2 linked regions of the Danio rerio genome follow. The protein of the gene in region 2 interacts with the protein of the main gene of each other region in a pairwise test. Links are inferred from orthologs where the notes say so. Each region holds a gene or a part of one and is shown on either strand. Other genes may lie near its edges. The genes, in order: atrip and cinp.

Region 1 (4,470 bases), on a different chromosome or scaffold from region 2:
CATTCCTGATGGCCTGTAGATGCTCATACTAGTAGATTCTGCTCTCTCATTGGCATAATTTTGAATTGCCGACAGCTCCATGACAAATATCTCATGGGTGTCAATGACTCATCTGCGATTCTCTCAGACTGTGTCTCTGATAGTTCACACTGTGATTGTTACTCACGTGAACGAACATCGATTTGCCTGTGATTTCAGGCATTTGTCTGCGATTTCTCAAAACCTGCCAGCGAGTCAAAATCGAGGCTAAAATCTTGCAGTCTGAACTCGGCATGAGTTGTTTAAGTGTAAAACAAGATGAAAGACTGTGTAACCTCTAGCGCTGTCAGGGTCAGCAGGTGAGTGCAGAAACTCCATTGAAACTTCTGGGGTTGAATAAACTGTTATATTTTAAAGACATGGCGAGAGGAAATGTAATTTAATGCTGAGCTTCTTGTCCAGTCTGACCCAGACCTTAAACATGGCAATTTTATAACGGAAAGACAATTCACTGGAAGTGCTGAGGCTGGCTGGCTGGCTGAAATGTAAATTCTGTGTGTGTATATATATATATATATATATATATATATATATATATATATATATATATATATATATATATATATATATATATATATATATATATAATAGCCCACTAACAAGACACAAAACAACAAACAAATATGTTAAATTGCTTCTTTAAACTGTCTCTAATTTTGTTTTTTAAATTAACAACAACAACTGCAAAAACCCAATGGGACATATAAAAACTTGTGTACAGTGCAACAGAAACATCCAGTACTGACCAGAAGGCTCTTTCCTTTGAGCGTGTGTGTTGTTGTAAGTGCTGCTGCTGCAGGCATCTCCAAGGGCGAATGTTTTCCGCCCGGACCTCACTGGAGCTTTGCTCGGTTCATCAGCGCAAGCGAGCACAGCGTCGAAAGATCTCTTAGAGCCGCTGTTCTGGACGTCTGCGCTGATGGCCTGAGACGCAATAATATCAATCTGCTCCAGATCATCCTGGGTGAAATCAATGTCATCGTCAAACGGGTCGGGTCCAGTCTTCACCTGAGGGCCCTTCAGTCTCTTGCTCGGGGGAAAGTCCATGTCAACGAGCTCCTGCTGGGAAATCAATAAAACCTTGTTAATGTTCAGCAAATAATTAGTGTAGTAAAGAAAATGTTTATGCCCCTTTTCACAAGATGATAGGTCTCTGACACCCCTAGAGCAGGAATGCCTAAACTCTGGTCCAGTGTCCTGCAGAGTTTAGTTCTATCCCCAATTAGACACACTTAAACCAGCTAATCAAGCTCTTTATACGTATACTGGAAACTTCCAAGCAGGTGTGTTGAAGGAAGTGTGAGCTAAACTATGCAGGTCACCGGCCCTCCAGGACCGGGTTTGGGCACCCCTGACCTAGAGCGTGTTAAATTTCAGCTCAAAATACCCCACTAATAATTCTTTTAAACTGCCCTTTTTAGACTTCGATCCAAATTGTGATATTTTGTTGACTGTTGCTTTAAATTCAAGTGAGATAGCCTTCTTTTCAATTGTGGGCAGAGCTGCAAATGCCTATGGTCATCTACGGTTTTCATTTGTGCATCCTAAAACACCACGTCTATATTACATCTATTGGCAGGTGACTGCTTATGACTCAGGACTGTCTTTGCAAATGAGGGACAGATCGTCACTAATGGAATGTCATTAAATTTGGAAAAATTTGGATAAATATGTCTTAAAGTGATTAAAACTTTAGTAAATTCACCTGTTTTATAATAAATAGTACTGCATAAGCTGTACAATGTTTGTTTATACATGACCACCACTATAAATGTACAGTTGAAGTCAGAATTATTAAACCCCCTGAATTATTAGCCCCTCTGTTTATTTTTGTTTAATGGAAGATTTTTCTTTAACACATTTCTTAACATAATAGTTTTAATAACTGATTTCTAACAGCTGATTCATTTTATCTTTGCCATGATGACAGCACATAATATTTTACTAGATATTTTTCAAGACACTTCTATACAGCTTAAAGTGACATTTAAAGGCTTAACTAGGTTAATCAGGCAGGTTAGGGTAATTAGGCAAGTTATTGTATAATGATGGTTTGTTCTGTAAACTATCGAAAAAATATATACCTTAAGGGGGCTAATAATTTTGATCTTAAATGTTTTTAAAAAATTAAAAACTGCTTTTATTCTAGCCTCATAACATCCAGGGTAACATGTCTATATGTATTACAATATAAATAAATGTTTAAACACACATTTCTATATTTATTAAAAACCTATCCATCTAATTATTTCAATTAAATAGACAAGCTTTTTGATTTAAACTGTAAATGTAACAATTAAAACAGTTCCAGGACAACGAATTCATTAATAATCTGCAAAAAATTATAGCAGAAAATAAATAATTTAGAAAAAAACATTAGACACATTATCTAACACTAGTTTTCGCAGTATAAATGTATTTTGCAACTACAAATATGTAGTTTACATTTTGGGTTTGGATGTCCGTGACATATAAAAGACTGCAAAACCCTGACATACAGTACGGTTCGTGCCAGTTCATTAATATCAAGCAGTTAGCATGTGACAATTTTAATACGATAACACTCACTTACTGGTCAAAAATCCAGTTATTTTTCAGCCTATAAAGTGTACATTACTACCGGACTAACAAACTAACACACAATGCTCTTCCAGACTCCAATTTTAACATGGTAAAGGTGTAGTAAAGTGCTCAAGTTTATCAGTCACCTGCTTGATTTACGCTCCTCAGATTCCTGCATAACCTGCAACTGCCCGTCAAATCACCGACATGACAAACCAAAAGTAAACACTCCAGATAAAGTGCAATTCTGAAATGTTTACATAAAAGTAGTTGACCAAACAAACAAATAACCGAAAAGAGGAAAAGTTGGAGGCATTTCTGAAGGTTCGGTATTCATTCAAGCGAGGAGGAGTGTCCATGCGGCCAGACGAAAGCGTACGCGGTAGTAAAACATCACCTGATTGGCTAAACCACTGCCATAGTGTGTAGCGGTGAGCTCTGATTCGTCAAAGGAGTAGCGCACGTATTACGGAGACACTCTTGCGACAAAATGCGTTTTGAACCATTCATTTTGATTCAGAAAACTTGCACAAAGCCGTGATTTGGAAGTTGTCTAAACATGTTCAACAAGATGTGTTTATAAAAGTTTGGGCTTGTTAAACGTTTTCTTCACCATTTAGCTTATACATACTCGTACCTGTAGTAAACATATCGCAAGGCTTCAAGATTGTATTATTTTAGTTTAAATGGAAAAATATGAGTTCACAACAAAACACTGACGCAGAGTAGTATGAGTAAGATTAAAAATATATTTACAAGGTGCACACACAAAATAAATAGTGTTTAGTGATATTTTTGATACATTTTAAGCAAAATCATCACTAAAAATCAGCAGGTACATTTTTATGTGATTACACCATATACGACAAAACTTTTGCAGTTATTATGAGCTAAGTTAGCATGCAGGTTATAACCAATTGTAATAATTGCGCTAAATAGCTGCGAAAGGCTTTATTTTTAACAAAAGATGTAAAAATGATATAGTTAGACTTCATAACATTGTTAGGCTACAGAAATAAACTAATAAAAGGTGAAATCTGTTTGCTGCTTTAAAGATTTGTCTACAGCTATTGTGTCAGATTTAGCATCTTCGCTATGAACAACATACTTTTTTATCTCACACAATGTGTGCATGTAACTACGGAGTGTTTTTGTTGCTGCTGTTTTAAGTTGGAACTATTATTATTTCAACTATTACGATTTATTGACGAGAACAAATGATTGTGTACATTTTTATGTGATCACAACAAGCAGATCTTTTTTATACGACAAAACCTTTGCAGTTAACAAATATGAGCTAAGTTAGCATGTTACAAACTGTAATAAGTGTGCTAAATATAGCTGCCTTACCTTAATTTATATAGACATAAAAAATATTTATAGGCTACAGTGTGCTAAGGTAAACAATACTATCTGCAGCTTTGTTCAGTAGTGTGTCTACAGATATTTAGCATCTTTGCTAATGTATCTATGAAAACATACTTTTTTATCTCGCACAATTCGTGCATGTTGTACGAGCATGTTGCATGTCGAGTGTTTTTGTTGTTGTTTTATTTAGGTTTTTTAAAGTAATTATTACAACATGCCCACAGTTTAGTAGAGATCACTTGAAACAAATGAGTAAAACGTGCAGATATATTAGTAAATTGTGGGAATGAATGAGTCCACTTGTGGCCATAATATGCATATATTTTGTCTGCATTTCATGTTAGGGTCTCGTGTCGGTGAAAATTCCCTGAGACACAACAATATTGATTATGAATATTAACGTGCATATTTGCGTATAATAAATTTCACGCACGGTTATAAAAAAGGAAACAAAAAAGTGCTCAATGTTACTTCTTTGATACGTGATCCGATGCTTGTTTA
Region 2 (4,329 bases):
TGGTTTTCTAATAGGAATAATAATAGCCTCTTTCCAGCTCATAGGAATTTTTCCTTCCTCCCATACCTTATTATACAATCCTAGCAACTTACTCATAGCTAATACATCTAAATGTTTTACCATCTCATAGCATATATTATCTTTACCTGGTGCTGTTGCCTGAAATGTTTCTAATGCCCTCTTCAGTTCTCCTAAAGTAAACGGAGCATCCATTGAACTATCTGTTTTCTCTTTTTTATCACTTATGCCTGGATATTTAGCTTTTGTTCTTTCTCTACTTCTCAGTCCCTTTTCTGTCAAATTATTTGAACTATATACTTTAACAATTTCTTTTGCAATCATTTCTGCTTTTCCTTCTTCTGTACTCGCTAATTCCTCCCCTGCTTTTAACACTGGATATTGCCATTGTTTTTTAATTCCTCGCATACTCTTTATCATACCCCACACTTCTCCAATCGGAACTGTTCTTCCTATTTTACTACAATAATCTCTCCAACTTTGCTTCTTTGCCTCCTTAATAGTCTTTTTCACTAAAGCTTGTGCTTTTTTATACTTTATTAAATTTTGAATATTGTGCGTTTTTCTTAAAATCTTGAACATTTTATTTCTCTCCCTAACAGCCTTATTACAACCATCTGTCCACCATGGAACTGCTCTCTTCTTCATTTTACTTTTATTTTTAGGTATTGTTTGCTCAGCAACTGTTGTTATAACTTCTCTGATCTTTCTATCTATTTCTTCTATTTCATCATTTAAATCAATTTCTTCGCTTCTCACACTACATAAATACATAAATTTATCCCATTGTGCTTTACTGAATATCCATTTCTCTATTCTTCCTCTTTGCTCTTCCTCCCCTTTCCATGCTAACTTACTAATCACTGGAAAATGATCACTACCTAATGTTGATTCTTCCCATACTTCCCAATTACATATATCTCCTAAATTCTTTGATACAATAGTTAAATCTAATGCTGATAGTTTTCCTCTATATAGATCTAATCTAGTTCCGCTACCATCATTTATACAAACCAAATTCATTTCTTCTAATAGTTCCTCTAATATTTCTCCGTTTTCATCAAGCTTTTCCCCTCCCCATAGTGTGCTATGTGCATTAAAATCACCACAAATAATTACATTCCGATTGTTAATTTCTTTAATTTGTCTCAACTTACTTATATCCATTTTCTTACAAGGGTTATAATAATTTATTACTATTAGCTCTACTCCTTTAATCCATACTGCTATCACAATATATTCCTGATCTTTTCCTTTTTCCACTTCTCTGAAAGATAAATTTTCTTTAATAAATGTTACACAACCGCCTCCTATTTCTTCTTTCCTATCATGTCTTACATCTATATATCCTGTAATCCTAAAATCCAAGTGTATTTTTAACCATGTTTCTTGAATACATATAATTTCAGGTTTATTTGATAAATCCTCAATAAATTTTTTAAATTCCTGTCCATTTGCCAAAAGACTTCTAGCATTCCATTGTAGTATAGTAGGCATAATATTTTATGTATTCTCTAAGTTATATCTTGGCTTGTTTTTGCATTCAGATCATTTCTCACTTCCTCCCATGTTATCCCACTTACACCCAGATGATGGACAGCAGCCTTCACTATGACCTGAATTCTTTCTGTTTTTGACTTGATTTCCATCGTTGCATTTATTACTCCTGCAATAAATGTTACCAATTTTTTAACTTCTATCAATATTTTCTCATCACCCACTTCCTCCTGCATTTCCACATTTTGTCTGACTAGAACTGGATTTTCCTCAGTTCTCTCTCTTTGTTTTATTCTCCTAACTGCTTCTGCATATGTTATTTTATTTTGAGTTTTTATTTGTTGAATTTCCCTCTCTTTCTTCATTACTACACACCCTCCATATGCCACACTATGATTTTCCCCACAACTGCAACATTTTGGCTGTGTGTTTTGATTACATTCTTCATATCCATGATTCCCCCCACACCTTGCACATCTTTTCTTCCCTTTGCATATTTTCGCCACATGCCCAAATCTTTGGCAGTTATAGCACCTCACTGGTCTAGGTATGTATTCTCTCACTCTGTAGCTCAGATATCCTAGTGTCACTTTTGATGGTAAAACTTCATCATCAAAAAAAATCAGAATTCCTTCACTATCACTCCTTGTACCATCTCTCACTGTTTGCATTCGCCTGACTTCTTTGATCTTTCCCCCTCGCAAATTTGATTTTAGATCCTCTATATTTACTCCAACTGGCACTCCCCAGATTACTCCTTTACTCAGTTTATTTCCTACTCCGATTTTGCTCATATTTGACACTTTGTATTTGCCTATTTCCTTGATTTTCATGGCTCTTTCTCTTTGTTCCTCACTTTTGCACACAATTAGTAGATTTCCATCCCTCAGTACCTTAGCCATTATAATTTCTCCTACTTGATTCTTCAATATTGTAGTTAGTTTAATTGGATTCATTGTTAATAATCCGTTGTCTTCCCCAAATCTAAGTATAATCTTATACGCTTCTACTTCCTGTTCTATTTCCGTCCTTCTATTACTTAACTCATTAGTGTTCTTAGCTTTTTTCGCCTTGCTACCATCAAATTCACCTCCCCTCTTACCTGTCATTCTTACTGATTCTTGATTCATTTCCATACTATCATCGCTATCTTCTATTTCACATTCTCCCCACTCAGGCTCATTCACAGTACAGCTGTGCCTTCCTGCCATTCTTCTCTGTATTTCTCCAGATTTCCCAGACTTAGTCCACATATTTCGACATCTATGTCCAGTACCTCCACTTTTCTTTCTGTTGTTTCCATCCAGCAATTCCAATTTCTTTAAACGTTGTATTGTTTGTATAGTTTTCACCATTCAAAACTCAGCGTCCTCGCTCACGCCCGGCGCCCTCAGGAGCTCGTCAGTATGCCGATCAACATCCCCAAGACTCGCGTGTTTGTTTTCCACTCTTGCTCTGCTTCTGCCGTGTCATGCTATGACATTTTCACAGCCAGTTATCGCCATCTGCTGGTTCAGATAACTCATTACATAACTGGCTAAATGTGCGAGAACTGAAGAGGCATGTGCTCTCAGGGTCCATGGATTTGCGATTTCAATAATTTATAATTTATTTGTCTTACTAGTACACCCGCCACATGTAAAAACAACAACATATGCCAAAGTTATATGGTGGTTCATTCTGCTGTGGTGGCCTGTGATATTTCAGGGACTACGTCAAAGGCAAATGAGTGAAGTTTTGGTTTGCTATTTTTTTTTTTTGTTGGGCGTGTAACTTTGTCACACAGAAGCTCTAATATTCTATAAAAATGACTGCATCTTCCTGATGAAAATCACTTTAATTCAACAGTCCTTTTCGCAGTCTCCTGCACTGTTCCCTTTTTAAAATTAAAACATTTATTAAGGCACTGTATTTATTAGTTTTTCCTGTCGCCTAATTTGGTACATTTCTCGAATTAAGTCTCAGAAATAACTGTTTCGATGAACCTAATATTAGAACGTTAAGTCAATTGTGTATGCATACGACAACAAGTTTGGGGACTTGTATTGAGGAGGGGGGCTCTCTGCATGTTAATGTTCATTCAACTTTTTCAATTCAAGTTTATCTGTATAGCAGTTTTTACTATCAGTACTGTTCTTAAGCTGCTTTACAAAAGGTGCACATTATCGCATTACAATCAGATCTAGTTAAAGTTTCAATCAAATTATTCAGACATGGTTAACCTGCAATTTAATTGCATATATAGGTGATGTCTATGTGTACACGTTTGATAAAGTGTATTTGTTTATTAAGTGTATGTGTTGTCTTGGAAGTCCTCGATAGCTGGGATCCACTTCATACAGTGCATCCGGAAAGTATTCATAGCGCTTCACCTTTTCCACATGTTTTTATGTGACAGTCTTATTCAAAAATGGATAAAATTCATTTATTTCCTCAACATTCCACACACAATACCCCATAATGACAATTTGAAAAATGATTTTTTGAAATTGTTGCAAATTTATTAAAAATAAAAAACCTGAAAAATCACATGCACATCAGTATTCACAGCTCAATAGTTTGTTGATGCACCTTTGGCAGAAATTACAGCCTCAAGTCTTTTTGAATACGATGCTACGAGCTTGGCACACCTGTCTTTGGGAATTTTTGCCCACTCCTCTTTGCAGTACCTCTCAAGCTCTATCAGGTTGGATGGAAAGCAGCGGTGTACAGCCATTTTCAGAGATGTTCAATAGGATTTAGGGCTGGGCTCTGGCTGGGCCACTCAAGGACATTCACCAAGTTGAAAGCTACTTCTGGTATTTTGGCGGTGTG

What was found.
Region 1: the proteins of cinp (region 2) and atrip interact in binary tests that used the Homo sapiens proteins (3 or more experiments, as listed by UniProt). The link is inferred for Danio rerio from reciprocal best matches to the Homo sapiens genes CINP and ATRIP.

The regions. Positions count from the first base shown.
Region 1 is NC_133197.1:10,190,697-10,195,166, reverse strand, and holds the start of atrip (ATR-interacting protein), read right to left. Parts: upstream 2,945-4,470; 5' UTR 2,748-2,944; intron 1,102-2,747; exon of another isoform or gene 1,099-1,101; 5' UTR 1,087-1,098; coding exon 786-1,086; intron 381-785; coding exon of another isoform or gene 315-380; intron 1-314. UniProt on the Homo sapiens protein: Required for checkpoint signaling after DNA damage. Required for ATR expression, possibly by stabilizing the protein.
Region 2 is NC_133192.1:33,201,715-33,206,043, reverse strand, and holds the start of cinp (cyclin-dependent kinase 2-interacting protein), read right to left. Parts: upstream 2,973-4,329; 5' UTR 2,934-2,972; intron 1-2,933. UniProt on the Homo sapiens protein: Component of the DNA replication complex, which interacts with two kinases, CDK2 and CDC7, thereby providing a functional and physical link between CDK2 and CDC7 during firing of the origins of replication.